Linked DNA regions of Rattus norvegicus. The protein of the gene in region 1 interacts with the protein of each later gene in a pairwise test. Links are inferred from orthologs where the notes say so. Each region holds a gene or a part of one and is shown in the gene's direction. Other genes may lie near its edges.

Region 1 (6,413 bases):
GGACATGCAGCCAGCTGCCTCCTAAACGTGTGTTAATACCCAGAGGCCAGTGCAGCTCCCAGCTGGGCCAGAGCAAGAATAGCGCAGAGACTGGTAAGAGGCCAGAGCGCTCGGAGTAGGAGCCGGGGGTAGAGAGGGCGCTGCGAGATGCTCTTCTCTGGCTGTGGCCTGACTGTGGTGTGGCTGCAGCAGTGCTGGGCGCAGCAGCTGTGGCTACCTGCCTAAGACCTGCACGGGTGAATGAGGACCTGTGATAGGAGGGGCTGGTTGGGAAGAGGAGGTGCGGTGGGAGTGGGAGAGGCTGAGAGAAGGCAGTGGGGCAGATGAGCATGGTGGTCTGTACATACAGAAGGCTGTCAGAGGTTTAGAAAGTCAGTCAGTGTGAATAAGGCTCAGTTCTTTTAACTCTATCAGGAATTAGTGAACTATATTCAGAGACAAATGAAATGCATACTTTTAGTATAACCTCTCTGGCTGTATTTTGTGTGTGAATTATGTAAAAAATGAAAATGGTTCTTTTCAATAAAACACAAATTAGGAAGTATTATCTGAGTTTTCATTTGGCACAGTAAATATTTTGCATTGCATTAAACTTTGAGGTCTGAAATTGCCGTCTGCTGTTAATAAATGTGTTACTAGTTAATTTCTTTACTTTGAAGTTGGGAGTTTATAGATTTAGCTGGTAAAATTTTGGTTGTTCCTACATACCCATGTAGTAATCTATAATTTTGAGAGAGTATCAATATTGAGTCTACTGTCTTCTTTCTGGACTTTCCACACTATTTTTAGTCTCTTCTGGATATTCTTTTAAGGGTTTTTATTGGTGATAGGGGATAATTAAAGTTTTCAGTTTACAGGTGTGTAAATATTTTTGTATTTTTGGAAGAAGTGGTGTGCGCAGCTGGTGCTGGGCTTTTGCAGGTCTGGGAAGGATCATTCAGTCTCCAAGAGCTGCTGGAGGGAGGATGGGAAGGGGAGTTTGGACTTTTCCCTGTGTGTGTGTGTGTGGGGGGGGGGGATCAAAGAATAGTTTACAAGAGTCTTAAGAGGACAACTTGAGGGAGACCTGCCTTTTTTGTTGTTGTTGTTGTTGTATAGACTTTGTAAAGTTATTGAACAATGCTGTACAAAGTATTTCCTGCTGATGTAGAAATCAAAGTGTCCTTGTTATTCTGGCTGTGGGTAATGTTCACAGGAGCACAGTGCTGTAAGGGCTTGTCTTCTTTAGTGCTCGCCACACCCAGGAGACGGAGTACTTAGGCCCGTCCCGTGGTTTGGGTTAGGGAAGTGAAGCATGTAACCTGGGACTGGATCTGCTCAACCCATAAAGTCCAACCTTGGAGCAGTCCGTGCACTCTGAGTGGAGCATGGTCGCATCTGGTGGTAATTGTGGTCAGTTGTTATCACCTAGATTTCGATACTGATTTTATGATTAGCTGGAAGACTATCCTTGGACTTAGCTGTGTACATGTCCTTGTGTCTGTGTACATACAGTGGCTTGAACATTCTCAAGTGGCTCACAAATGTTAGCACCCTGGTAATGAGGACTGCTTCATGGCAGCTCTGAAGTTCTTATGAAATCTGAAATGATTTCAAGATGAAAACCACTGGTTTGTCTGAAAGTCACAGTGGGGGCATAGACTAAGTTAGTTGGACCTAAACTCCCTTGTTCTAAATGCGTGTGTGTTTATCTTTACTGTCCTTTCTGCTTTTTCTGACCAAGGTTATAGAAGAAATAGATATAGAAGAAATTAAGAAAGCTTTCTTCTTCCCTCATGCCTGTGGATTGTATCAGCTGTGACAACATTTCTATATTTCCACATCTCTCCCAAATCACTTCTGCGTAGTACTTTTACCATGAGATCTCTTTGTAAATGTCAAGCGGTTGGACTCTTTTTATTGTTGTTTTTTGACTGTATTTTATCATAAGCTTATGCTCTGTGTGGATTTTGGTTTTGCCTAGGATTAACCACATTCTTTTGTGCTTAGCTTAGGCTGTCCTATGATGAAGTCTTGCTATGGCTAACGACCCCTTAGAAGGTTTCCATGAAGTGAACCTCGCTTCGCCTACCTCTCCAGACCTTCTTGGTGTGTGTGACCCGGGAACCCAAGAGCAGACTACCTCCCCGAGCGTCATCTACCGGCCACACCCTTCGACGTTGTGCTCTGCCACTATCCAGGCCAATGCCTTAAATCTTTCTGACCTTCCCACACAGCCTGTGTATTCATCCCCGAGGCATTTAAACTGTGCAGAAATATCTAACATCAGGTAGGAGATTATAGCACACGTACTTTGGGTTATTGTTATTTTTAAGAGTTGGCTGGCTTGTCTTAGAAAATATGAGTAATATGTTTGCCCATGTAGAGTGATGCATTTTAATCCTTAGACCAGGAATCGGCAAGTTTATGAATATGATCAGCCAAAAAAATGTTTTAGGTTTAATATGATGCAGGATAACTGATCACAAAAACCTGTATCTGGTTTTGGTGTGGCTCAGCCCTAGCAGACATCTTTAATCCCAGTACTTGGGAGGTACACTCCTTTAATCCCAAAGAATGAAGGTAAACTTAGTTTGTTGAAGGAAGCACATGTTTGATTGAAAGTGATGTCTAATTGAGTGGCCACAAAGTGACGAATCAGAGAAAGATTTGACAGAATAGGATATGTCCGACTCTCAAGAGAAGAGAGAGGAAAGGGAAGCTACTTAAGGGTCTGTGCAGAGAGAAAGGAGGCAATTTTACTGGGTCAGCTTATAGAGACAGGCTGAAGAGAGAACAGGCTGGACACAGGTGAAGACAGCATGAGCCAGAGAATGAGAAGGAGCCAGAAGGTTAGAACAGATCGTCGGAGTTAGTTTGAGGCTAAGCAGAGCAGTTCAGGAGTAGGTGAGAGAAGCCAGATTGGATCCATCAGCTCAGAGAGGAGTTTGAGCCAGGATAGCAGAGTTGACCAGCCAGCCAGAGTTCAGAAAGAATTAGACAGGGCAAGCTTATTCAGCAGCAAGTCTCAGAGGTGGAATTCTAGGCCTACGTTAGATTGTACAGAAACTAGAAGTTTCTGGGACTAGGCCTAGGTTAGCAGACTGAGGTGGTAGCCCTCAGAGATGACATTTACTACAGGCAAATGAATTATTTTTTTACATTAGCAGGCCACATAGTTGATTTCTTTTTTTAAAGATTTTATTTGCTCTTATGTTTTATATGTGGTTGTTTAGCTTGCATGTGTGTCTATGTACTGCATGTGTATGGTACCTGTGGAGGCCCAGGAACTGAGTGGGTGCTGTGTCCTCTGTGAGAATAGCAGGTGCTCTTAACCACTGAGCCACCGCTCCAGCCCTGGCCATACAGGTTTCGTTCCAACTCTTCAGTGTTATTTCTATGGTGTGAAAGCAGCCACAGACTGTGTAAATGTGTAAGTATGACTGTTCCAGTAGAACCTGTGGCCATAGAGACTTCATACAGTTTTTGCAGGTCATTCAGTGTCACTGAATTCTAGTCATCTGTTTCGGGCTTGTGGGTCTTAGGAACAGGCGGAGACTTGATTTAGACTTCAGGCTGCAGTCCTCGAGCCCCGAGGCTCCTTGAGAAGTAGTTTGTAGTAACACTTTCTGTGGTGTGCAGTATGACTGATAGCCACCAGCCACATGGCTGTTGAGCACTTGAAGTGTCAGGTTTGAGGACCTGCGGTTAGTGAGATGTAGATTGGCAAGTTCACTGTTTCGCTGCAAACCTCTGAGCTTTCTCTCCTTCCAGCATTCATGTTCCAGAGCCAGCATCATCGGTAGCCTCTGAGGTGGCAGCAGGGCTCACGAGGTTCACCTCAAGGAAGGACAGCTGCAACGCAGAGAGGGAGTTTCTGCAGGGCGCCACCGTCACAGAGGCTTCTGCTGGCAACGATGACATCTTTGGGTTGAGCACGGACAGCCTGTCCCGTTTACGGAGCCCATCTGTTCTGGAAGTTAGAGAGAAGGGCTACGAAAGGTTAAAAGAAGAACTTGCAAAAGCTCAGAGGGTAAGAAACTCATGTTGTCCTTCCATACAGTGTTAGAAGTGACTGCTTGGGGTGGCAGCATGAATGGCCTCAACAGCCTTGCCTTACCTAACTCAACCTCGGTGGGCAGGCAGCATCTGTGGCTTGTGAGATTGCTTTAGAGATTCAGAAGCTCTGCCTGGGAGTAGGAACTGGAGAACTGAGGTTCTGAAGCTATGGACCGACTACCGTGTGTCTTGCTTTATTTGTAATACTCTTTCACGGGTTAAATCCCACATGAGTTCCACATGGTTCACTTAGGTGATTGGCTTGTGAAGGCCTCCAGTCTAGGCCTTTTTACTTGGAGGAATTGTTGCAATAATGTTTGTTACTGTTTTTTCTTCTGCTAATTGTGAAAATTGCCTGTATTTTGTTTGGAGACTTTTCTTTCCTTGATAATATGGCCAGCTCTTACTGTCCCCCAGCCCCAATTGAGACGGAATCACAGAGCACACTCTATAGTGTTAGGAGACAGGGCACGCGTGTGCGTGCGTGCGTGCGTGCGTGCGTGCGTGCGTGCGTGCGTGCGTGCGTGCGTGTGTGTGTGTGTAGAGGCAGAAGGCAGCATGGGATGTTTTCCTCTGTCACTCTCTGTCTGCTCCTTTGAGGCAGGATCTCTGTTGGACCTGCTCTCTTGCTTAGGCTAGAAGGTCTCAAGCCCCGGCCGTCCTTTTGTGTCCTCTCCAGCTGCTGGGCTGTTAGAGGCGATGCTAGGATGCTGACTTGTTTCATGCGTGCTGGGATGAGCTCTGGTCCTCGTGATTGTGCAGCAGACATTCTTAACTGTTTAGCCCTCTTTCTAGCTTAGGAAAACTCATGGTGAACAATGTTACTTTATTAGCCTAAAAATAAAAGAAGAGTTCGAACAGTGAGTAGAAGAATGAGATGGTAAAGATTGAGAGCAGAATTCAGTGAAATTAACAAGAGAAATAGAAAATGAATAAAACAAAATATGGATTCTTTAAGCCAATAAAATTGACAAACCTCTGGCAAGACTGACAGGAAAAATAAGAGACAGATTATCAAAATTAAGAATAAAACAAGTATTGCTCCTGACCCCACAGACAGCAGAAGTAAAGTTTATGAATGATTCCATGTACATAATTTTGACAGTTGTGTCAAATACTAATTTGTATTTTAAAAATTGAGAAGATATGTCATGCACTCTTTCTTTGTTTATGACATTGTTCAGGCATGTGTCCCCCATCTATTATAAATGAACGTAAACATTCATTTATGTTTGTTCCTGCGTGCCTATCTCCTAGCTCCCTTGAGAATCTCTGAAATCTTTAGGTTGTAGTACTTGGAGCTGGGTTGAGGTAACTGAAATGATTATGTTATATGAGCATATACATACTGAATTTTATTAGGATGAGTATAATATAGCTTTAACTTTGTTTTTTGGGTTTTTTGTTTGTTTGTTTTTTTTTTGTTTTTTTGTTTTAGGAGCTGGGGACCGAACCCAGGGCCTTGCGCTTGCTAGGCAAGCGCTCTACCACTGAGCTAAATCCCCAACCCCATAATATAGCTTTAATGTCAATGTGTAGGACTCAAGTCTTGAGGAGAACTCGAATATTGCAAGTATTTTCTGAATTCTGATAACTTATGCATTAAAATTATGCCATTGACCTTTTGTATGTTGATGACTCTTAGCTGTCTTGTGTCCATCCTTTTAACCTATTAGTATTTTTCTGTTTAAAGTAAGTCTTGCTTTCTGTCCTTTTTGCTGATATGTGCTCTTTAACTGGTATCTTTAGACTGTATATACTTAACACAATATTCTTAAAATTTGGCTAAATCTATCACTGTCTTACTGTTTGTATTCTGTTGTTCTCGTTGACCTACTTTATTCCTCCTTTTGTATTAGTTCATTTTTTATAATTTCAGCCTTTCTTTCTTGTTCACTGGCTAGTTTTTGTTGAGTTTCTGAGTAATTGGTTTACGGCTGACAGTGAGCTCCTTCCGTGGCTACCTCTCCTGCAGTGGGGCACTGCCTGTGAACTCCAGCGGCCACTACCTGTGTACCGCAGCGGCGCATGCACAGCGTGGGGATCTTAGCTGCGTGTTTTCCCTTTCACTTCTGGCTCTGGGCAGTGAGTCTCGTAATCTTCCTTATGTATTCTAAATTTCACCTCACACTTTTACTTTACAGTAAACGCTTATTGTTGTAAAGAGATTTATACAGAGCTGTTGTCTCCAGTGTTTCTTTTTTGTTTAATGCGTATCTAGATTTCTCACGGGCATCTTTTTCTTTCTATTTAAAGGGCACCGTGAGTGTGTTCCCTGTCTATGTGTGCTGTGGGTACCTTTTATATGTGGAAAGGTCCCTGAAGCTGATGGATGTTCTCTCTCTCTCTGAGCATTGAAGGTCTTTGTGGTCTCC
Region 2 (5,844 bases), on another chromosome or scaffold:
TTGTTCAGTCAGTCTGCTGGCCTTTTTCTGCAGCTGGACAGGAAAAGGGGTACCTGCTAGTCAATAACAAAGGTCCTGGCGGTTTTTAGGATGTTTTGATGCTATGTTTAAGCTCTGGCTTAATTCAGCCTATCTCAGAAATCTACCTAGCAATCTAAGGTATTTAAGAATAATCAGCTTTTGAAGAAAGCCCAAGGCTAGCTATGGTGGCACACACCTTTAATCCTAGCATACAGGCAGGTGGACCTCTGAGTTCAAGGCCAGCCTGGTCTACAGAGTGAATTTTAACTTGTCTCCAATTACTTGGGGTTAATTGCCAGGCATAGTGGAGGACACTGTTAGTCCCAGCATTTTGGGAGGCAGAGACTGATGGATCTCTGAGTTTGAGGCTACTCTGGTATACATATTGGCCTCCAGGGAAGCCTGGAACCTGAGACCCTGTCTCAAAAAAGTAAATAAATAAAACACAAAAATAAAAGTAAGGGCTGTAGACTCTGTGCTACAGTCATGGTCTACCTGCACCAACCTGCACTTCCGAGCCTGGGGCAGGGGCCCAAAAGGCCTGTGCCAATTGGAAACGCTAAAGAGGTGGAGGCAGGAGGATCACAAAGTTGAGGCCAGTCTAAACTACACATGGGATTGGGAAGATAGTTCATTGGATAGAGCACGTATTCGCTCTTCAAGCACGAGGACTGGAGCTTGGATCCCAGCAGCTACACTAACAGCCAGTGGGTAGGTAATCTGCCTGTAATCCCAACACTCAGGTAGGCAGGCTATCCCCCAGGGCAAGTGACTAGCTAAACTAGCCATGTCAGCAAGCTCTGGTGAGGTAAAGTGGAAAAGTGATCAAGGAGAACACCCAATATCGTGCATCTGTTCCCATCTGACATGTGCGAACAAGCATGTGAGAACACCCCACACACACACACACACACACACACACACACACCACACATGCACACGCCACACATGCACACACCGTACATACACACACCACGCATGCACATACCATACACACATCACACATACACACACACCGCACACACATATACACACCATATATACCACACACGCATACACCACACACACCACATATGCACACGCCACACATGCACACACACTATACACATGCCATACTTACACACCACACATACACATCCCACACGTACACACCAAAAAAAATCCAGAAGGTTCCCCTCAGATCGCCAGCACAGTGTTTCATTTTTGCTGACGTAGTTCTACCAACCTAAAGCTTGTGCAAGCCTCTCTTCTGTGTGAAGGAGCTGTTCATCCATTAAAGGCTGGAGAGTCACAGAAATGGGGAGCATTTTAAAAGCACCCTGTTTCATCCTTCCACTCCAGGGTCCGTCCGTACCAGCACCCGTCCCCACCCCCACCCCAGTCAGTACATTAGCTGTGTCTTCATCGTTCACTGCTGAAACATTGTCTCTGTTTCTGCAGGTCCAAACTGAAGATGGAGGACATCAAGGAAGTAAACAAGGCTCTGAAGGTATGATAGAATGGAGGGATGGATAGAATGGAGGGATGGAGAGAATGGAGGGATGGAGAGAATGGAGGGATGGATAGAATGGAGGGATGGAGAGAATGGAGGGATGGAGAGAATGGAGGGATGGAGAGAATGGAGGGATGGAGAGAATGGAGGGATGGATAGAATGGAGGGATGGAGAGAATGGAGGGATGGGTAGAATGGAGGGACGGATAGAATGGAGGGACGGATAGAATGGAGGGATGGATAGAATGGAGGGATGGGTAGAATGGAGGGATGGATAGAATGGAGGGATGGATAGAATGGAGGGATGGATAGAATGGAGGTATAGATAGAATGGAGGTATGGATAGAATGGAGGTATTAGATAAAATGACTTCTACCAACAGAGTCACAGCCCAGCGTGCTGCAGTGCTGCAAACCCAACATTCAGGAGGCAAAGGCCACCAGTCACGGAGTTGAAGGCTGGCCTAGCTAGGCTTACACAATGAGACTGTCTCATTGAACAATAAAGACTACTCAGAGTGCCCCCCCAACACACACACAGTGGTGACAGCACAGTGAGCAGGCATTCTGAGACGTCAGCGCTGCAGGTGGACAGGCAGGAGCTGCTGGTGGCTGCTGTTCTAAGACCCTAGCCCTAAGCCCAAGCTCTTGGTAGACGCTATGCCCGTTGGCTCTCTGACCTTGTGTGCTTGAGAAGTTAGCAGACAGCAGGGTCTCTGCTCTGCATGTCCACGAGGTGCCAGGTAGAGAGGGCCTCCTCATCCAGTTGCCACAGCAGAGCAGAGGGGCTCCTTCAAAGGGAGCCCAGCAGGAGTAGGGATTCCTGGCTGCTCCTGCTCTTGAAGGAAGCTCCTTTTTTTTTTTTTAAAGATTTATTCATTTATTATATATGAGTACACTGTAGCTGTCTTCAGATACACCAGAAGAGGACATCAGATCCCTTTACAGATGGTTGTGAGCCACCATGTGGTTGCTGGGAATTGAACTCAGGACCTCTGGAAGAGTAGTCAGTGCTCTTAACCGCTGAGCCATCTCTCCAGCCCTGAAGGAAGCTCCTTGATTGTAATTGTTGGGGGCTGCTGTCTCTGTCTTGCTATGCAGTGTGTGCGTGACAGTGGCAGCCGACAGCTCCAGAGGGATTTTCAAGAGTAAGGGGGAGTACCTTAGGTAGCCCCAGCAGCCTGCTCCTCTGGTAAAGGGTGTCATGGGCCCTTCACACTTCTGCAGAATTCCTAAGGGAGAATACACTTTAGTTTTCCCTTGTAAAAATTTGCAAGACATCCTCTTCCAGAGCCTCCGTTTTCATTTATGTAAAGTAGCTAAGCTGTTCCCCGAGGCCTCTTGAGGACCCAGGGCCGGGTGTCCAGAGGAGCTTCACTGGGCTGAAAACTTCCCTCCCCTGCATGTTGTCTCTGCAGAAGTCCATGCTCAGATCTGGTCAGCCTTCCCTCCAGCCAATTTAGCTAGTCATGGGATCATGGCTCAGGCCAGACATGGGGGTTACAGGCACTGGAGTTTGACTGTGGTGACCTCAGCTACAGGGAACTTAATAGAACAGGGAAGTCAGGTGGTGGTGGTCCACACTTTTAATCCCAGCACTTGGGAACCAGAGGCAGTCAGATCTCTGTGTTCAAGGCCAGCCTAGTCTGTAGAGTGAATTTCAGGACAGCCAAGTCTACAGAGAGAAGCCCTGTCTCAAAACAAACAAAAGGACAGGATAGCATCTTTGCTGAATCAGCCTTGATAGCGGCCAGGATGCTGTAAGCAGGCACTTTATATGGACATGCGAAGTCCACTGCAGCCACTTGAGAGAACAGACGTCATCATCTAGTGAAGCAGCAAGGCCTGGTGAGAAAATGCGGCAGGCAGTCACAAGATAGTAGGTGCAGCCAGCCAGGGACTGCCAGGGACTGCCAGGAGGTACAGTTCTCAGGTGCTCTTTCTTCCTCAGGGCCACACATGGTTGAAAGATGATGAGGCAACACATTGTAAGCAGTGTGAGAAGGACTTCTCCATTTCCCGGAGGAAGGTATGTAGGAGCCACTCCTTGGTTGCCTGGAAAAGCCTCTTTTCACTACAGCTCTGCCCATTGATCGGCTGAGCCCCTAGCCCCACGTTCTCTAATGACTGGCATGGGTGGGGCAGCCATGTGTAGAGCCATGTGTAGTTCTGTGTAGAGCTGCTGCAAGTGTGTATGACACTGGCAGTCCTCTATATGCAGCAGGACCAATTGGTTGACTAACAGGCAAACCACCTGATCAGTTAGAGGCTGCCTAAAAGCACATGGGTCTAGGACATAGCCATTTAGAGAAGCCATGCCTTACATGATAGGTGTGGGGTCCCACTTCCCCAGTAGTCTTAACTGCCTTTGTCCCGACTTCTAGCACCACTGCCGGAACTGTGGCCACATTTTCTGCAACACCTGCTCTAGCAACGAGCTGGCTCTGCCCTCCTACCCTAAGCCAGTGCGTGTGTGTGACAGCTGCCATACCCTGCTACTGCAGCGCTGCTCTTCCACAGCCTCCTGAAGCCATCAGCCCTGCCAGCAGGGACCTTAGCCTGTTGACCTCCATCCTCAAGAGTGGAGGGAGCCTCAGGTACAGTGCCAAACTTGGGATCTCCAGAGACCTGCAGGGACCCAAGAGAATCAAAGGAAAGAATGAAGCCTTCACCAGGCCGTCAGCCTCTGAAGAGAGCGCCCAGTGGCGGCTGAGCACTTTCCATGGCTTATGTGGAGCCGGCTCCTGTAGATACTTCGTGTCCTCGGTTATGTCCTGGCTTTGGGACAGGTGCAAACTCACAATTTTGCTATGCCACTTTCACTCTTCGGAGGATTGACCTGTTTTGCAGCAGTTTGCTAGTACAGAATCCTCTTTCCTACCCGCGTCCCACAGAAACCTTGATTTCTGCTGTGCTTTGAACCGTGTGGGTCTGTCAGCGTGCCTTGTCCGCTTCAGCACCCAGCATTGGCCATCATGCCCCTGGCAACTCCTACTGTTAGCCCTGCAATAAAGTCCTTTATTTTTCACTCTTGTACAAAGTGCTGGCCTCCAGCTTGCCTGGGGAGGAGGGCCTGCTGGGTTTGAGCTCTTCAGCTGTGTTGCTTTGACTCAGGCTGCTCTATCCAGGTGAACCAAAGCCAGGGTAAAGGACCTCAAGCCTGTCACCAAAGTCCAACTGAGTTACTTACACAAATGCCTGACTCAAAGTGGAGTTACATCTGCATTGCAGTCAAGTACAAATGAGCCAATAACGACCACTGTACAGCCTCAGCCTGCCTTGAAAGTCCTCAAAACACTGAGCCTGTAAAAGGCAGATGGCTAACAGGTTTTTTTTTTTTTTTTTGAGACTAAGTCTCAAATAGCCTGGTCTGGTCTCAAATTCAAATGTAGCCAAGACTTGAACCTTGAAGGTATTCCCTTGCCTCTACCTCCCAAGTACTAGCATTCTAAGCATGTGCCACCATGTCCAACAAAACACACAAAACCTATTTTATACATGTTGGGTTACCTCAAGTAACTTACTGAAAACTGGCTGAGTACTTTTTTTTCAATTTATTTATTTTATGTATGTAAGTACAATGTCCCGCTCTTCAGACACACCATAAGACACACATCAGATCTCATTACAGATGGTTGTGAGCCACCATGTGGTTGCTGGGAATTGAACTCAGGACCTCTGGAAGAGCAGTCAGTGCTCTTAACCTCTGAGCCATCTCTACCATGGCAAAGCTGAGCCATCCATCAGGACCATGTAGCTACATGAGACTTGTAGTGCTAGCAGACATCTGTGGTCATGTAGACTGTCTATCTTCCTTATGGTACCACCCAGTGCAAGTTCACATACCCCTCCCAAGGTCAGTGTTCTCAGACTTCTTTAGGCAGAAGTAGGCAAGTGCCAGGGTACAGGTCAGATAGGAGCTTACTAGAAGTTCCCTCTACCACGTGGAGTCCAGGGATCAAACTCAGTCATTAGGCTTGGCAGTAAACACCTTTACTCAATGAGCCATCTTGCTGGCTTGACTCTAAGTATTGAAACATCTACTCTCTTGCTCTCTCTTGCTCTTCCCCCTTTGTCCCTTCTCTCCCCATTCCCCTCCCCGCTTCTCTCCATGTACTCATGGCCGACCTCTACTCTTCTACTCTTCCTTATCTCTCTCTTGTCCCTCTCCCCCTTGTCTTGTCATTAAACCTCTCCACTTGGAAAAAATATCTAGCTGCACATGGCAGTCAGTCTATACCTGACCCTTTGTTCACAAATGACACCTTCACTGCTGAACCTGACCTGATTATTGTCCAGACTCAGCCAAAATCAATCCAAGCCTGTATCTCC
Region 3 (5,041 bases), on another chromosome or scaffold:
TTTTCTTCTCTCAGGCTGTGAAACGTTCCCACCGGCGCCTTGGCCTGGCTCAGAAGCTGATGGACCAGGCCTCTCGAGCCATGATAGAAAACTTCAATGCCAAATATGTCTCCCTACATGTCAGGAAGAGGTGGAAGCCAAGTTGGGGAAAGGGCAATGCTGGGAAGTGGGGAAGAAGGGGCAATGCTGGGAAGTGGGAAGGAAAGGGCACCCAATTGATAGTGGTTCTGGGGTTTACTGCCTTCATAAGAATATGGGGAAATAGTGGGAAAGGGGAGGGGGCAAGGAAGAAGGGCAGGATATCCCTAACCCTAGCCCTAACCCTAACCTGTCAACCTGTCTGGCCAAGTTTGTGAAGCTCAGCAATGCCTTTTTCCCTTACAGTAACCGGGCTGCCCTACATCTCTATTCCAACACCCTCAACTTTCAGTAAGTACATCAAGATATTTTCTTTAAGTGGCATGATCCATCCAGTTTGCTGGGCTGAGAAAGGGGTTGAGGGACTCTAGACATTGCTGGGAGGGTTTCTGTATACTCATTGGCTATTGACTGACCTGAAGAAAGCATCTGTTTTCTCTGTGTGTGGTAGAGGAGGGTCCAATATATGTTGGGTATAGGAGGGGTGGCTTGGTACTAGTGAGACTGGTGAAGGGCAGTGTGGTAAAGGACTCACAGGGCTTCTCTGTGATAGTCTAGGAGTAAAGAGAGATAGACTAGAGCATGAGCAAAGGCTGAGAAATGGCTGGCTCCAGGAAGCATCAAGTAAGAGCAGATGAAAGGGGACAGCAAGGAAAGGGGGCCATGAGCAAAAGCAATGAGGGACCTATTGCTCTGAGTGTTTCTGATGGCTGAGGGCAGGACTCTGGACATGACCATCTCTATGAAGAGAGGACTTAGTAGTACCTAGTGCCACTTGAAAGTGAGGCTCGAATAGACTAACTTGAGGAACCACTGAGCCACACTAGACTTTGAGGGGGTCCAGTGAAGATGACACCATTGGAACAGGATGGTGGTCTTCAGCTTTTCTGGGTTCAACATCCATATTCATGGAGGGACTTTTGACCTAGTTAAGATGCCTCTGTGGCAGGAACTGCTTTACCTGCTAAGTCAGCAGTTCCCAGCTGGGTATGGTAGTACATGTCTCTTAATCTCTGCACTCAAAGTGGAGGACTGTGGGTTGCAGTCCCAGCATAGGGAGTTCCAGGTTAGTCTCAACCACATAGCAAGACCCTGTCTCAAAAGATGGGTGCTGAGGAGATAGCTTAATTGTGAGGACTTGTGTTTGATGCCTGGCACTCATGTATAAAAGCCACATACAGTGCCCTGTACCTATTATCCTAGTGCTGAAGAGGTTAAGACAAGAGAATCCCTAGGGTTCACTAATCAACAAGCCTAGTTGAATGGACAAGTTCCAGATTCAGTAAGAGACCCTATTTTGAAAAAAATAAGATGGAAAGCAACTGAGGAAGTTACCCAGCATGTATCCCTAAAGACTGGCAAGGAACCTTCCTAGGTCATCAACGGGTTTCTCTTCCAGTGTCAGGGATACTTAATTGTGCACACACACCTCCCTCCCCTCATCCATCTGGTGAGTAACCAGGTTGTCTATGATGACCATCTACATGCAGGTACAGTGTCCCTCTTTCCTAGCAGAGGAACTATGTGTTCAGTAAATAACAGGGAGCAGGTCAGGGAGAGGAAGGCAGAATTAAGGACTTCAACTCAATACACAAGTCCTTGATGGTTGGGCTAGGGACAAAGTGGTAGCAAGTCTAGGAATCAGAAGTGCCCTGGATGCTACATGCTATTTGGCTTTACTTGAAGAGCAGAGAAAACTATCATAGCTGTTGAACAAGAATCCAGTCAAATGAAAAACAAAAAGGAGAAACCCATTTACACTGGCTTTTTGCCTCTACAAAGGTCCTACAGGGGGAGATGACATTTACCCCAGTAGCCTAAGAACCTGGAGAATTTGCCCCTAGGCATGTGTCTTGATCCTACCCCCAGGATCAGCGAAGTGGAGCCCAAATACTATGCAGATGGGGAAGATGCATATGCAATGAAGCGGGACCTCACGCAGATGGCTGATGAGGTAAGAGTTCAGCCAGGCCAGGGCAGCAATTCCAGCAGTAGAGGAGATTCTGTAATTGGGAAAGGTGTCTATTTTCAGTGAGACCACAGAAAGTACAGATGTCAAAGAGCTGTGAGACAGAGTGAGGCAGTGGCGACTAGAGGCAAGACCGAGACTGAGTGTCAGCTTTTGTGGTTGTAAAGCTAGGAATCAGAGCCCCTCTTTCCCTTACTCCCTAAGCTGTCAAGTCAGGGCATGGCCTTCATTGACTGTAAAGGAGGCCATGGGATGCTTTCTGGGGAAGAAGTCTGGAGATGGGTGGAATAGGAGAGACAGTAGGAAGATTTTTTTTTTAACAGAGGAATTGGGACTACTATGGTTGGGGGCAGCCTGCTCAGATCTAGGATTAAACTGGGCTAGGGAGAAAGGGTCTCTCTGACCAAGCCTCCTGGAAAGGCACTGCTCTGTCTTGGGGGCTTCCCAGCAGCGTATTTGAGGGCAATAGAACTCATGTCATTTTACAGATGAAGCAGGCTTAGGACAGAGGTAGGATTGAACTACATTTCTACCCAGTCCTATTTCCTGCCTTGGCCCTACCACTTCTCACTGTGTCCCTTCCCCCAGCCAGCCCCAGGGCCTGGCTCCTCTTGTCTCCTGTCTGGAGACTTAGGCCCTGTCTCTTTCCACCCGCTTCCCTCTGGGCTCCCGGCGGCAGCTGAGGCGGCACCTGGAGCTGAAGGAAAAGGGCAGGCACATGGTGCTGTCGGCCATGGAGAACAAGGCGGAGAACAAAGGCAACGTGCTTCTGAGCTCAGGAGAGGCCTGTCGTGAGGAGAAGGGCCTGACTGCTGAGGATAGTGGTGGGGACAGCAAGGACCTCAGTGAGGTCAGTGAGACCACAGAAAGCACAGATGTCAAAGACAGCTCAGAGGCCTCTGATTCTGCCTCCTAGAACCTGCCCTACCTGGTCCCAACCTCACCCCATGTGCTTTTTACAATAAATGTCACCCAGTGGCCTTGGGAAATTTGTGAATGTGCATAGTGGGGTATGCTTTTTTTCCAGCTCCTATATGGCAGGGATACTATCTTCACAGCCCAGAGCGTACTGAGCTCACAAGTCAAATGTTTGAGGATGGGACCCCAATCTGGCTTCCTTCAACAACTGAGTTGGAGTTGGCAGATAAACTGTCTTGGGTGCCATATTCTCATGTCACTTTCCTGGCCTTCTACAGATCTCTGTAACATCTTTAGTAATTTTCTAGGGCTGAACAAAATGATTTCTTGGGTTTTCTATTCAGCCTCACATTTCAGAGGCAGCTCCCCTACCTTGATGTTCTTTGCTGCATTGCTTTACCCTCTCAGCCCTTTACTCCTAGTCATACTTGCTCTCTCATCAGTAGGAGCTCCAGTTTATACCTCCTGGACCCCAAGTGCTTAAGTCCAACTCCTCTTTGCACTTATCTGGAGAGATCCTAGCTGGATCCTGGCCTATTCAGTTACCCAGTTGCTCAGGCTTTTCCTATCTGTAGCCTTTTAAAAAATTTTTTTGTGAAACAGGATCTCTTACTTAGCCCAAGCTGGCCTGGAACTCATTATGTAGCCCAGGCTGGCCTCAAACCTATGCCAATCCTGCCTCAGACTCTAACGTGCTGGGATTACAGGCGTGAACCACTCCTCCATTAATATTTTATATTTGCTGTGAGGCAGTGGTGGCACACTCCTTTAATCCCAGCACTTGGGAGGCAGAGGCAGGTGGATCTGTCTTTTAAGCTCCAAACTAGCCTGGTCTACAAAATGAGTTCAGGACAAGGCTATGCAGAAAAACAAGACAAGACAGTTCTATGCTTTATCTAGTTCTTGACTACCATCAGGATACCCTCAATGTCTTGTAATATTTCTGCAGTTTCTGGTAGGTGCATAAAGTCAAATAAAATTGAACTAAAAAGAAAATGTGAGTCCACCCCACTTCCGAATGCTTTATCACACCCTCATCCTTGCATTAACATTTGCTCCTCTAAACGTACGCGTGGTTTCTAGACCATCACTAGTGGCTCCTAGGTCCTAGGTGGTGGGCTTTCCTTGGGCCGCTCACCTAACTGCAATGCACCTTTATATAAGAACTGTCACTATACTAATAATGTCCTTGGTCCTGCAAGTGACAAAGCGATCCGCCACTATGTGGAATAATTTGTTCTGGAGCTTAGTACTTTATTTGGTTGTACAAATCATTTATTAGAAACTGAGAAACAGGCGACTAAAGGACAGAGCCCGGGGAAGAAAATTCGCAGCAGCAGCAGCAGTCGCAGCCACAGCCCCATCTCTGATTCAAGCGAAACTGCGTTCTGGTTGGCTAAATCAGCGGCTTGTTCCACCCAGCGTGCTGATGTCGGTTCCTGTTCGCAAGCCGGTGACGTTCTTAGTTCTCAGGCTCTGATTGGTTCTGCAGCACTAGACCCACCGCCCTGAAGCAGGGCGGCCGACATGCGCACTGGCTCGGCCGTGCCCTAATGGTGGGTGGGGGAGCTTGCGGATCCTCTTTAGGCGCATAAGGAAGCTTCTCGAGGCCGGCCCTCTGCGCTGGTTGCTTAGGTGTCATTGGCGGCCAGCTGAAGCTCTGCTGTCTGCCCCGCCCGTAGTCGTTTAGGTTTCCTGGGCGGAGGTAGGAGCAGTGAAGGGGGAAACCGCAGCCCTGCGAAGCCTTGGGGGCCCAACATTTCCCCTGCTTCAGCGGCATCCGCCTCTTTCATTGTGAGCGGAGGCTGGGGGTGACTCCGGGGACACCTCTTCAGGTCTTACATTCACTGCCTAATCTTTTTTTTTTTAAAGCATTATTTGTTTTACGTATATGATGACACTGTCACTGTCTTCAGACACACCAGAAGCGGGCATCAGATCCATTACAGATGGTTGTGAGCCACCATGTGGTTGCTGGGAATTGGACTCAGAACCTTTGGAAGGGCAGTTAGTGCT
Region 4 (5,844 bases), on another chromosome or scaffold:
CCTGCCTAGAATCCCCCAGTGAGGGGCTGGGGGCGTGGCTCAGTGGTAGAGCCCCTGCCTAGAATCCCCCAGTGAGGGGCTGGGGGCGTGGCTCAGTGGGAGAGCCCCTGCCTAGAATCCCCCAGTGAGGGGCTGTGGGCGTGGCTCAGTGGTAGAGCACCTGCCTAGAATCCCCCAGTGAGGGGCTGGGGGCGTGGCTCAGTGGTAGAGCCCCTGCCTAGAATCCCCCAGTGAGGGGCTGGGGGCGTGGCTCAGTGGGAGAGCCCCTGCCTAGAATTCCCCAGTGAGGGGCTGGGGGCGTGGCTCAGTGGGAGAGCCCCTGCCTAGAATCCCCCAGTGAGAGGCTGGGGGCGTGGCTCAGTGGTAGAGCCCCTGCCTAGAATCCCCCAGTGAGAGGCTGGGGGCGTGGCTCAGTGGTAGAGCCTCTACTTAGAATCTCCAGTAAGGGTTGGGGGTGTGCTCTGGTAGAGGGTTTGTCTAGCATACAGAAACCCCAGGTTCAAATCTTAGCACCATCCATAAAACAAAGAGAAAAACCAGTGGTTGGATCTCAGGTATCTATCAACCAAGCATGTTCGAAGGCACCCCCTCAGGGACCCTACCGCTGTGATTACATTAACATGGAGCTTTTGCGAAGGGCGTGTTCCCTGGCTGCCAACCTCAGAAGATCCTTTGACAGGTGAAGAAACTGACTCCCTTAGCCTAGTGATAACTCCCAGGTCACTCAGGTAGAGTAGGAGAGTTCTCTAAACGGGCAACAGCATGGTCAGACTTAGAAAAGTCAAGTGTGGTGTTCTGTCCTCAATCTCAGATCTCAGAACGTTGAGGCAGGAAGATTTCGAGTTGCAGGCCACATAATGCAGGCCACTCATCACAAAAGGGAGAAAAGGACCCCAATTTTTTTCTCATGTATTTGTTTTTGGAGGGGAGGGTAGTGCGAGCGCGTGGCATCTGCAGAGGTCACAGGATGATGCTTGAGAAGCTCTTCCTTCCTTCCACTGTGTGGTCTCTGGGTGGCAGGCTTGGTGGCAGGAGCCTTTATCCACCGAGCTACCTCACCAGCTCCGTTCTAACATACTATATAACAACTTAAGAAAATAACGTTTTTATAATAAAGTTTTAGCTTGGCAACAAAAAGCAAAAACCACTACCCTAAACTACAGGCCTTTGGCTACACACCGCTTTGTCCACTAGAGGAGCTGGGGACCCCCTCACCTCACACTTTAAGGAGCTGGTTGCTTCATGGTTCCCAAATGAAGGAACTCTCGGAAATCTTCCCCTTTCCCCCCCAGATGAAGTGGTCTTAAAGTTCGACCAGAACCGTGTGCGCATCCGAAATGTGGCCTACGACACGCTTCCTGTTGTGGTCCATGGCAACGGTCCCACTAAGGTGTCCCCAGTGCCCTTAGCCCTTGGTACCCCCAACCCTCCTGGACCACCTCCCAGGTTTTCTCTAGTCCCAGCAGAAAAGGGGTTGGGACAGTGCCTCCTCACCCTGCTGACTTTTTCCTGAGCCCAATGTCCTTCCCATCTGTCCCCAGTCACCTCCACATTAGCCAATCAACCCCTGTCTCAACAGCTCCAGCTTAACTACCTGGGGAACTATGTCCCCAATGGCTGGACTCCCCAGGGAGGCTGTGGATTCTGCAACTTGAACCGGAGGACACTCCCGGGGGGGCAGGTGAGGAGAGTGGAGATGTAGGCAGAGGGCAAGCAGGACAGCCTTGGGGGCAGAGCTCCTGCCCACCCTGACATGGTAGCCTCAGGGGCAGTGAGTGACTGGCTGGCCAGGGATGTGGGCAGAGAGAGGTCCGGGCTCCTGTGAGCCTTGTCCTGTGGTGTCCTCCAGCCTCCCCCCCGGGTGCTTCTGGCCGTGTTTGTGGAGCAGCCCACTCCCTTCCTACCTCGGTTCCTGCAGCGCCTACTGCTCCTGGATTACCCGCCGGACAGGATCTCTCTTTTCCTTCACAACAACGTGAGATATGGGGAACACGCACCCACACCCCACTGGACCCTACACCTCTTCCTGTCTGTCCTTCCTGATTGCATCCCTCGTGTACCACCTCTCTGCCCAGACTGTCAGTCCATCCTTCTCCTATCCATCTTCAGGAGGTGTACCACGAGCCTCACATTGCAGATGCCTGGCCACAGCTCCAGGACCACTTCTCAGCTGTAAAGCTAGTGGGGCCAGAGGAGGCCCTGAGCTCAGGGGAGGCCAGGGACATGGCCATGTGAGTGAGTCTACCTGGGCCGTTGTCACTCTGGGGAAGGAGACATTGACCTCATCTCAGAACTGGGAGAGCCCTGTTCTTCCCGCCATCCCCCGTGCCCGGCCTCCATGCCCCAATTGGGCTCATCTCTCCCTTTGTGGCTCTTCCCCTCCAGGGATAGCTGTCGGCAGAACCCCGAGTGTGAGTTCTACTTTAGCCTGGATGCCGATGCTGTCCTCACGAACCCGGAGACCTTGCGTATCTTGATTGAACAAAACAGGTGACCGACTGCACTTATGAAGCTGGGAGCTTCAGCCCTTCCCTGGGTGGGGCGTGGTCCGTTTGGACGGAGGCCCCTCCTCACCGGCGTTTCATTCACAGGAAGGTAATAGCTCCCATGCTTTCTCGCCACGGCAAGCTCTGGTCCAACTTCTGGGGGGCCCTGAGCCCCGATGAGTACTATGCCCGCTCCGAAGACTACGTGGAATTGGTGCAGCGGAAGCGAGTGTGAGTCCCACCCCTGTGTACCGTGGGGGTGCGGGGCCCTTCCCTGGGTCCCACCGCAGCATCCTGTACAGCCACTAGACAGGCCACTGCTGTGGGAGGGGTGCTATGATGGCTCAGGCTCAGGGTTCTGGGGGACCCTGAGAAGGCCCACCTGTAATTCCAGCCTGAAACAATGAATAAAGCGTAGTCTGAGGGGTTGTCCACCGGTGCCTGCAGGGGCTTGTGGAATGTACCCTACATATCCCAGGCATATGTGATCCGAGGAGAGACCCTGAGGACAGAGCTCCCCGAAAAGGAAGTATTCTCCAGCAGCGACACAGACCCAGATATGGCTTTCTGCAGGAGTGTCCGGGACAAGGTGAGTGGGGTGGTTGGCATGGGTTGCCCAGTCTGGGGACTCGACGCTGTGTCACAGCCTCCTGATGTCCTCCTCACGCATGCCCACCCTTTACCCCACTCCAGGGCATCTTCCTGCACCTCAGCAATCAGCACGAGTTTGGCCGGCTGCTGTCTACTTCCCACTATGACACTGACCACTTACACCCGGACCTCTGGCAGATCTTTGACAACCCTGTGGTAAGAGGGGGACCTTTGCTCCCTGTTTCCAGCCAGCAGCCGCACCACCATTGCCCACATGGGAGGGACAACCCAAGGGTAGGCGTGAGGAAGGCTCCACTCAGGTGCCCTAATCCTTCCTGCAGGACTGGAGAGAACAGTACATCCATGAGAACTACAGCCGGGCCCTGGATGGGGAGGGGCTGGTAGAACAGGTAAGCTGCCCCAGGACCTTGGGCTGTGTGAAGCACCCAGTGCTGGCATTGGTGGGTTCTAAGCTGAGCTCCCAGGGACTAAGGGTTTGCTATTCGGGCAAGAGGGAGGCTAATAGCCACACTGAGTGTTATGGGTCTGTATCTTAGAGGTTTGGAAGCTGATGCAGGGGGATGAAGAGTTTCGGGCTAGCCTGGGCTGCATAATGGGTACCAGACCAGACATGGTCAGATGGCAAGAAGGAAATGCCAGATGGGTGTGGTGGCCCATCAGGCTGTAATTCCAGCCTGAGAAGGCAGAGGCTGAGGATCCTCAGCAAGTTGACCAGCAAGACTGGCTGCATCAGTGAGCTCTGGGTTCGATTGAGAGATCCTGCCTCCCTGGATAAGGTGAAAGGACAATGGAGCAGTTCCTGATATCAACCTCAGTCCTGCACAGGCGCACATGTGCGCATGCAACCCCCACACAGCTGTGCCCACCGCACATAAAAACAAACAGAGGTGTGGTCATGCTGAGAATACCAGAGCTCAGGTAGTGGAGGCAAGAAGATAATGAGGATTCGGAGTTGCAGGACAGCCTCAGACACATAGCAAGTTCAAGGCCATCCTGGATCACATAGGGAGACCTTGTCTGAAACTAAAACTAAATAAATGGGCTGGAGCCGTACCTCAGTTGGTAGAGTGCTCGCCCAGCATTCACAAAGCCCTAGGTTCAGTCCCCAGCACCGGATAAACTGAGCACAAAGTGCATGCCTGTGATCTCAGCATTCAGGAAGTGGAAGTAGGAGGATCAGGGCCAGCCTCAGCTACATAGTGAGTTTGAGGACAGCCTGGGCTACCAAAGACCTTGTCTCAAAAAGCGGGGAAAAGACAGAACAAGGTCATTGTCCTAGATGCTGGGGCTCCAGGCACTCTATTCCTGCCCTGCTGAAGTCCCTTTACTGAGCACCCCTCCTCCAGCAGCGACCTGGAGAGCTTGGGTACCCCCTTCATGGATTCTTTCCTGTATGTCTCCCCTCCCTGTCCTTGTTGCCTGTCCTACCTCTTGCCTGTCTTCTGTGACCTTGCCTTGTCCCTTGCTGCCCTGCCCTTCCTAGCCATGCCCAGATGTGTACTGGTTCCCACTGCTGACCGAGCAGATGTGTGATGAGCTGGTGGAGGAAATGGAACACTATGGCCAGTGGTCTGGAGGCCGGCATGAGGTGAGGCAGAGGGCACCTGAGAGGGGCAGGGAGGGATCCCGGGGGCAGGGCTCATAAAGGGTATGCTAGTTACTTGCCTTGTTGCCGGGAGAAAGTATCTGACCAAAGCAACTTGAGGAAAGGGTTTTTACTGTGGCTCACAGTCTACAGGCACAAGTCCATTATGGTAGGAAGGCATGGCAGGAGTGTAAGAGAGCTGGTACATGGTCACGTTGCATCATAGTTGGAAAGCAGAGAGATGAGTGCTGTTGCTCAGCTTGCTTTCAGGCCAGGACCTGAGCCTAGGGAATGGTGCCACCCACGGTGGCCAGGTCTTCCCATCTCCCTTAATCTAAGCTGGATGATCCCTCCTGACTCGTCCAGAGGCTTGTCCTCTAGGTGAACCCAGGTCCCATCAAGTCGACAGTCAAGGTTGGCTCTAACACAGAAAGTGCTTCTTTCCTGGGCAATGGGTATTAGACAGCATGACCAGGTAACACGGGTAGGTCATGTGGATTCACAGCAGAGTTAACAAAGGCAGAGACTAAAAGGCCCAGCAGCAGTGAATCAGAATCTGACAATAGAAGAGAAAATTCTTCTAGATGGCAGAGACCAAAAGAGACTCTGCTGGGCAGTGGTGTGCACACCTTTAATCCCAGCGCTCTTGGCAGAGGCAGGCACTCTGAGTTCAAGCCCAGCCTGGTCTATAGATCAAGTTCCAGGTCAGTTTGGTTACACACAGAAACCGTGTCTCAAAACAAAACAAAAACAAAAACAAAAAAACAAAACAAAACAAAACAAAAAACCAAACCCTGGGAACCAACAAGAAGCAGCTGGAATTGTCCCTGAGGGAGAATGGGCTAGCCCAGGGATGTGGGCGGCTCAGTGTCTGTTGTCCACAGGACTCCAGGTTGGCTGGAGGGTATGAGAATGTTCCCACCGTGGACATCCACATGAAGCAGGTGGGGTACGAGGACCAGTGGCTTCAGCTGCTGAGGACATATGTGGGGCCCATGACGGAGCACCTGTTTCCTGGCTACCACACCAAGGTGGGCTATCCCAACCACTGCTGTTTCTTTCTTCTCGTACCCCAGTCTCGGAAGGCTCTATATGAACCCCCTGCTCTCAGCCCTTTTACCAACTAAGGGGCCATGGACTTGGGGTCCGGGACAGAGACAG
Region 5 (4,552 bases), on another chromosome or scaffold:
GTCCCCGTCCCCCCTCCTCCCACCTCCAACTCCCTGATGTTGGGGTTATAGGGATAGCCTATAGTCTTGTGTTTTTGTTTTTTTTCTTTTTTTCTTTTTTTTTTTTTCAGAGCTGGGGACCGAACCCAGGGCCTTGCGCTCGCTAGGCAAGCGCTCTACCGCTGAGCTAAATCCCCAACCCCATGTTTTTGTTTTTAAAGATAGGTTTTGGCCTTGTTGCCCATGCTGGCCACAGATACACTCTGTAATCAGGCACACATGACCTTCCTGCCTCAGCCTCCCAGAGAGTAGGAGTGACAGGTGACAGGTCTGCAGTGCCACTGTGACAACTTCTTAACCCTTCTCAAGCCCCCTGGCCTTAGTTGGCCATCCATCCCCCCACCCTCCCATCCGCCATTCTCATTAGCATCTGCAACCCTGGACCTGCTCAGCCCCTGACTCCCTGCTTCTCTGGTTGGGTGTTTGCACTGGCCACTGATGGCCTAGGTGAACTTGGCAGTTAGGCCCCAACCTCCCAGGACAGCATGGGTTTGGGGTAGGTGAGAGGGACCAGGCTCAGGGACCAAACTGCAGGAGACCAGCAGTGCTTCCAGGGATCTGATGGAAGGATCTGGAAGGTGAACTTTCCTGACCAAGGGAATTGAGAACTGGGGAGAAACCTGTGCAGTGTCCTCCTGAGCCTCCCTCTCTTGGCCTTCTAGGGAAAGAAGAAGAGCTTGTCAGTCCTGGAGGGCCTGGGCTTCCGCGTGGGGCAGGCTCTGGGTGAGAGGTGAGAGCCAGACCCACCTGCCTTCCTCTGCGGCTTGGAAGGGTGGGCAGACCTGAAGTGGGGTTCCTGCTGATAAGACGGAGGGTGGGGAAGGTTTCATGGGCCCACACATGTACCATATGGGCCAGACTTCATTCCACATCCTCATCCAGGCTGCCCCGGGAGACGCTGGCCGTTAGGGAGGAGCTAGATGCCCTCAAGTTCCTGTGCAAAGATCTGTGGGCGGCCATGTTCCAAAAGCATATGGACGGACTCCGCACCAACCACCAGGTGGGTGTGCGAGCCCAGCTCCAGCCTGGCTTCTGGGTGATACCTAGACTGGTATCACTGTCTACCCCTGCTCCTTGGAGCCCTAAGGGAAGCCAGGACTGCAGTGAGTGGCAGGGCTATTTCTTCAACTTCAACCTGCCCCTCAGGAGTGATCCCTGCAGTGGCCTCAGCATGACGGTTCTTGTCCCAGGCAAGTCCCAGTAGTCCCCTTTGAATACCCACGCTGTGCTCATTCCCTGCCACCACATCAAGGGCCAGAGAGTCAGCTTCTCCCAGCCCCCCTGCCAGGCAGGACTCCTTCCTAATGCCACATGGCCACAGGGTGTCCCACCTGTCTCGGAAGGATTGGCTGCTGGGTTTGTGGGTTCCCTGCTGCTAATACCCAGTCCCCACATTCTTTTCTGTTGACAGGGGACCTATGTGCTGCAGGACAACAGCTTCCCCCTCCTCATCCCCATGGGCTCGGGGCCACAGTACCTAGAGGAAGCCCCCAAGGTATTGGGAGAAACAGGATATGACCATCTGCCCACCCCGCTAGGCCTCTCCTGGGGCTGGGGCCTGGCCTCTCCTCTTCCCACACACAGTGTTCTGTCCCCCACCCCCACCCCAGTTCCTGGCCTTCACCTGCGGCCTCCTGTGCGGCGCCCTCCATACTCTGGGCTTCCAGAGCCTGGTCACTGCCTCCGTGGCGTCCCTGCCCGCCTGTAAGTCACTGGGGGTCGGGTGTTTGCTTCCCTTAAACGTGGTGCAGGCTTTGGGGCATCCCCATCTTTGGTCCCTCATCAGTGCTGGGAAGGGGAACCAGATTAACAAACTGTGACATGAAATTTGAGGCCCAGAAACAGGTAACAGGAACGGAACCACATACCCAGCTGCGTCCCTGGGTGCTTCTAAGAGAAGAAACTGGCACAGGACCCAGTGGGACATGTCCTACCCTGGCCAGGTTCCTGATGCTCGGAACAGTGGACTCACCACCCATCTGCCATTATCTTGACACCCCTCGCCCTGACAGCTGTCACCCCTCTATGAGGACCTGGGTTCAATGAGCAGGACATGTCAGGAGCTCAGGCTAGCCCTCCTGCCTCTGGGCTCCCCTATGGTCTGGAATTCGGGCCAGTTGGGTGGGACGGTACCCCTGTGACCCGCTCACTGCCAGGGCCCCCCAGGCTGTTGGTGCAGAGTCGGGTGAGCTGCTAGCCCCCTCACGGGCTTCCTGTCTTGGCCCTTCTGTTCCAGGTAAGTTCCAGGTGGTGATCCAGAAGTCCTGAGGACCCCAGGTTTGCCCTGCTCTAACCTCAGCCTCAGAATGTGGCATCTGGCCCTGCCTCACTGCTCACCTTTGGAGGCACTCACAGGCTCTGGGGAGGTCACATGTGCTTCCGCCAAGGAAAGGACTAGGAGGGTCCCGGGAGGTGGGACCCATGAGTTCAGAGTGGGTATGGAGGGACGTTAGGGCATCTCCCAGACATGTTCAATAAAGAAAGGTTCTTTATGAGGAAACAGACCTGTGTAGTGCTTATCACACGTCCCTCCCCACCCACACCCACCCTGTGAGCTCTAGGCACACCTGGCCTAGCTCTCTGGCTTTGCCAGCCAACAAGTCTGGGGCTGCCCCCGGCCCAGCAGGTCACACCCGCCACCTCGTTCTGATTGTATTTGTAGCATCCGGGGCTGCCCTTGGGCTTAAGCCTGCATTCTGCTGCCCACTGCTGCATGGGTAAGCACCAGGCCCAGGGACTACAAATGGAGGTGGCTGAGAAGTAACAAGGGCTGCTGGCTCTTCTGTTAATTTAATTGTGTGCGCTTGTGCTCAAGCGCATGTGCACTGAATCCAGTCCTCTGCAAGAACAGTTAGTGCTGTTAACTACTGAGCCTTCCTTCCAATCCGCCACCCCTAAGACAAGACCTCTCAGGGTGGGACAGGTGTGTCAGAAGTTAAGAGTGTTTGCTGCCCTTGCTGAGGACCCAAGTTCGCATCCCATCACCCACACAGTGGCTCACAACCACCCATAACTCCAGTTCCAGGGGATCCCATGCCGTGTTCCGACCTCACATAAACGCAAGCAAAGCATCCATACACATAAAATGCTGTAAAAAGATCAGGTCTCATGCAGCTCAGGTGGCCTTGAACTCACAAATGGTCCTCCTGCCTCAGCCTCCCACGTGATGACAGATGTGTGTCACAGGGTCAGCTGGTTCGCTGTGGCTAGGGCATCCACCTCTGTGGAGTTGGTCCAGGTCCTTAGCCTGCCTCTCCCCAGTTTCCTACAACTAAACTCTTTGTCTCCCAATTTACATAGTGTCCCCTGCCTGGTCCCTCCACCTTAGTCCCTTCTCAGGACCCAGCAGCCTGGGATCTCTGTCCCTTTGCCGCACAGCCTGTGAGCAGGAGCTGGCACCCCACGGTTCACCTCAACAATCCCTGCCTCCTAGGGGACAATCCCTAAAGAAGAGGCTTGAAGGAAAAGAAACTTCACAACAGGAGGAAGGTGGCCAGGCCCAACAGCAGGAAGCCCACATCCCCACCCCAGCTGATGTGAGGAAAGAGTTCTACAGTATAGGATGTACCTTGCCCAGCACCATCTTGGTCCTATTAGACACAGGGCAGAGCCCCGGAAGTCACCACCTGCTTTCAACTCCCCACTCTGTATGGTCTGGGGCAAAGGAAGGGCTTTGTGTCTCCGGGCCTCAATTTTCTCATCTGTGAAGTGGGCACTACCGTGGCTCTGTGGTTTCTGATGATAAAGGGACCTACGGAGTGGCCAGGCTCAGAAGCCACTCCCTGTATGTCTGTGCTGTTGCCAGGGTTCTGTGTGAGGTGCCCACAGCAGCACCTGGTAAAGTGGGTCAGCTAGTGCTGTACCCAAGGGCCAGCCCCAGGCTGGGTGGACTGTTTGACAACTTCAAAAAGCAGGTGCCAACCTGGCCTATTCAGCAATGAGGAAGCTGAGGCCCAGAGAGATGAAGTCACTGAGGCACAGTCACAAAGCTGGGCCACAGAGGAACTAGCAGCTTGAATCTATTTAAGATTCATTCTGCCTCCTCCCTACCAGAAGAGGTGCCAGAAACCCGGCGTGAGGGTTGCCGTGGGCTCTCCACCCCCTCCTGGGTTCATCCTGTCAGGGGCACCCAGTCCTAGAGAGCAGCAGGTCGGACGCCTGCCCAAAGGGCGGGGACACACGCAGGAGAACCGGCCGAGCGGGCGCCACTGGGCTCCAACCAGGCCTGCGCGGGGCCACGGGCAGGGAGCTGGGGCCGCGGGGCCACCACCAGGTAGGTACTGAGAGCTCCGGCTGGGACGGGCGGGGTTGGGGGCGGCGTGCGGCAGCAGGAGGGGCCACTGGCCTGGTCCCCAACCCTAATCACCCAGATTCTCTCTCAGGGTCCTGGGCCTGACAGTACCTTTCCCAGCTCTGCCTTAATTCATTCTCTGAACCGGGGACGCACGCTGCCCCCAAGAGGCCGCCTGTGACTCCGCAGAAGGCCACCTGTTTCCCAGACCCTCTTTCTCTC

What was found.
Region 2: the proteins of Rab3ip (region 1) and Rufy1 interact in binary tests that used the Homo sapiens proteins (3 or more experiments, as listed by UniProt). The two-hybrid records come from large-scale screens. The link is inferred for Rattus norvegicus from reciprocal best matches to the Homo sapiens genes RAB3IP and RUFY1.
Region 3: the proteins of Rab3ip (region 1) and Naa10 interact in binary tests that used the Homo sapiens proteins (3 or more experiments, as listed by UniProt). The two-hybrid records come from large-scale screens. The link is inferred for Rattus norvegicus from reciprocal best matches to the Homo sapiens genes RAB3IP and NAA10.
Region 4: the proteins of Rab3ip (region 1) and Plod3 interact in binary tests that used the Homo sapiens proteins (3 or more experiments, as listed by UniProt). The link is inferred for Rattus norvegicus from reciprocal best matches to the Homo sapiens genes RAB3IP and PLOD3.
Region 5: the proteins of Rab3ip (region 1) and Trappc6a interact in binary tests that used the Homo sapiens proteins (3 or more experiments, as listed by UniProt). The two-hybrid records come from large-scale screens. The link is inferred for Rattus norvegicus from reciprocal best matches to the Homo sapiens genes RAB3IP and TRAPPC6A.

What each region holds. Positions count from the first base shown.
Region 1 is NC_086025.1:54,442,575-54,448,987, reverse strand, and holds the start of Rab3ip (rab-3A-interacting protein), read left to right. Parts: upstream 1-1,987; 5' UTR 1,988-2,018; coding exon 2,019-2,269; intron 2,270-3,753; coding exon 3,754-4,012; intron 4,013-6,413. UniProt on the Homo sapiens protein: Guanine nucleotide exchange factor (GEF) which may activate RAB8A and RAB8B. Promotes the exchange of GDP to GTP, converting inactive GDP-bound Rab proteins into their active GTP-bound form.
Region 2 is NC_086028.1:35,205,509-35,211,352, reverse strand, and holds the end of Rufy1 (RUN and FYVE domain-containing protein 1), read left to right. Parts: intron 1-1,461; coding exon 1,462-1,510; intron 1,511-3,463; coding exon 3,464-3,541; intron 3,542-3,896; coding exon 3,897-4,040; 3' UTR 4,041-4,552; downstream 4,553-5,844. UniProt on the Homo sapiens protein: Activating adapter involved in cargo sorting from early/recycling endosomes. Regulates retrieval of proteins from endosomes to the trans-Golgi network through interaction with the dynein-dynactin complex.
Region 3 is NC_086039.1:156,805,447-156,810,487, reverse strand, and holds the end of Naa10 (N-alpha-acetyltransferase 10), read left to right. Parts: intron 1-14; coding exon 15-130; intron 131-384; coding exon 385-429; intron 430-1,920; coding exon of another isoform or gene 1,921-1,939; exon of another isoform or gene 1,940-1,954; intron 1,955-1,982; coding exon of another isoform or gene 1,983-1,995; exon of another isoform or gene 1,996-2,007; coding exon 2,008-2,092; intron 2,093-2,695; coding exon of another isoform or gene 2,696-2,786; coding exon 2,787-3,023; 3' UTR 3,024-3,110; downstream 3,111-5,041. UniProt on the Homo sapiens protein: Catalytic subunit of N-terminal acetyltransferase complexes which display alpha (N-terminal) acetyltransferase activity. Acetylates amino termini that are devoid of initiator methionine.
Region 4 is NC_086030.1:25,315,833-25,321,676, reverse strand, and holds part of Plod3 (multifunctional procollagen lysine hydroxylase and glycosyltransferase LH3 precursor), read left to right. Parts: intron 1-1,292; coding exon 1,293-1,390; intron 1,391-1,579; coding exon 1,580-1,681; intron 1,682-1,849; coding exon 1,850-1,975; intron 1,976-2,109; coding exon 2,110-2,231; intron 2,232-2,385; coding exon 2,386-2,490; intron 2,491-2,591; coding exon 2,592-2,717; intron 2,718-2,880; coding exon of another isoform or gene 2,881-2,893; exon of another isoform or gene 2,894-2,933; coding exon 2,934-3,075; exon of another isoform or gene 3,076-3,179; coding exon 3,180-3,293; intron 3,294-3,418; coding exon 3,419-3,487; intron 3,488-4,581; coding exon 4,582-4,686; intron 4,687-5,567; coding exon 5,568-5,714; intron 5,715-5,844. UniProt on the Homo sapiens protein: Multifunctional enzyme that catalyzes a series of essential post-translational modifications on Lys residues in procollagen. Plays a redundant role in catalyzing the formation of hydroxylysine residues in -Xaa-Lys-Gly- sequences in collagens.
Region 5 is NC_086019.1:88,290,950-88,295,501, forward strand, and holds the end of Trappc6a (trafficking protein particle complex subunit 6A), read left to right. Parts: intron 1-701; coding exon 702-769; intron 770-921; coding exon 922-1,039; intron 1,040-1,450; coding exon 1,451-1,534; coding exon of another isoform or gene 1,535-1,649; coding exon 1,650-1,743; coding exon of another isoform or gene 1,744-1,859; exon of another isoform or gene 1,860-2,275; coding exon 2,276-2,307; 3' UTR 2,308-2,544; downstream 2,545-4,552. UniProt on the Homo sapiens protein: May play a role in vesicular transport during the biogenesis of melanosomes.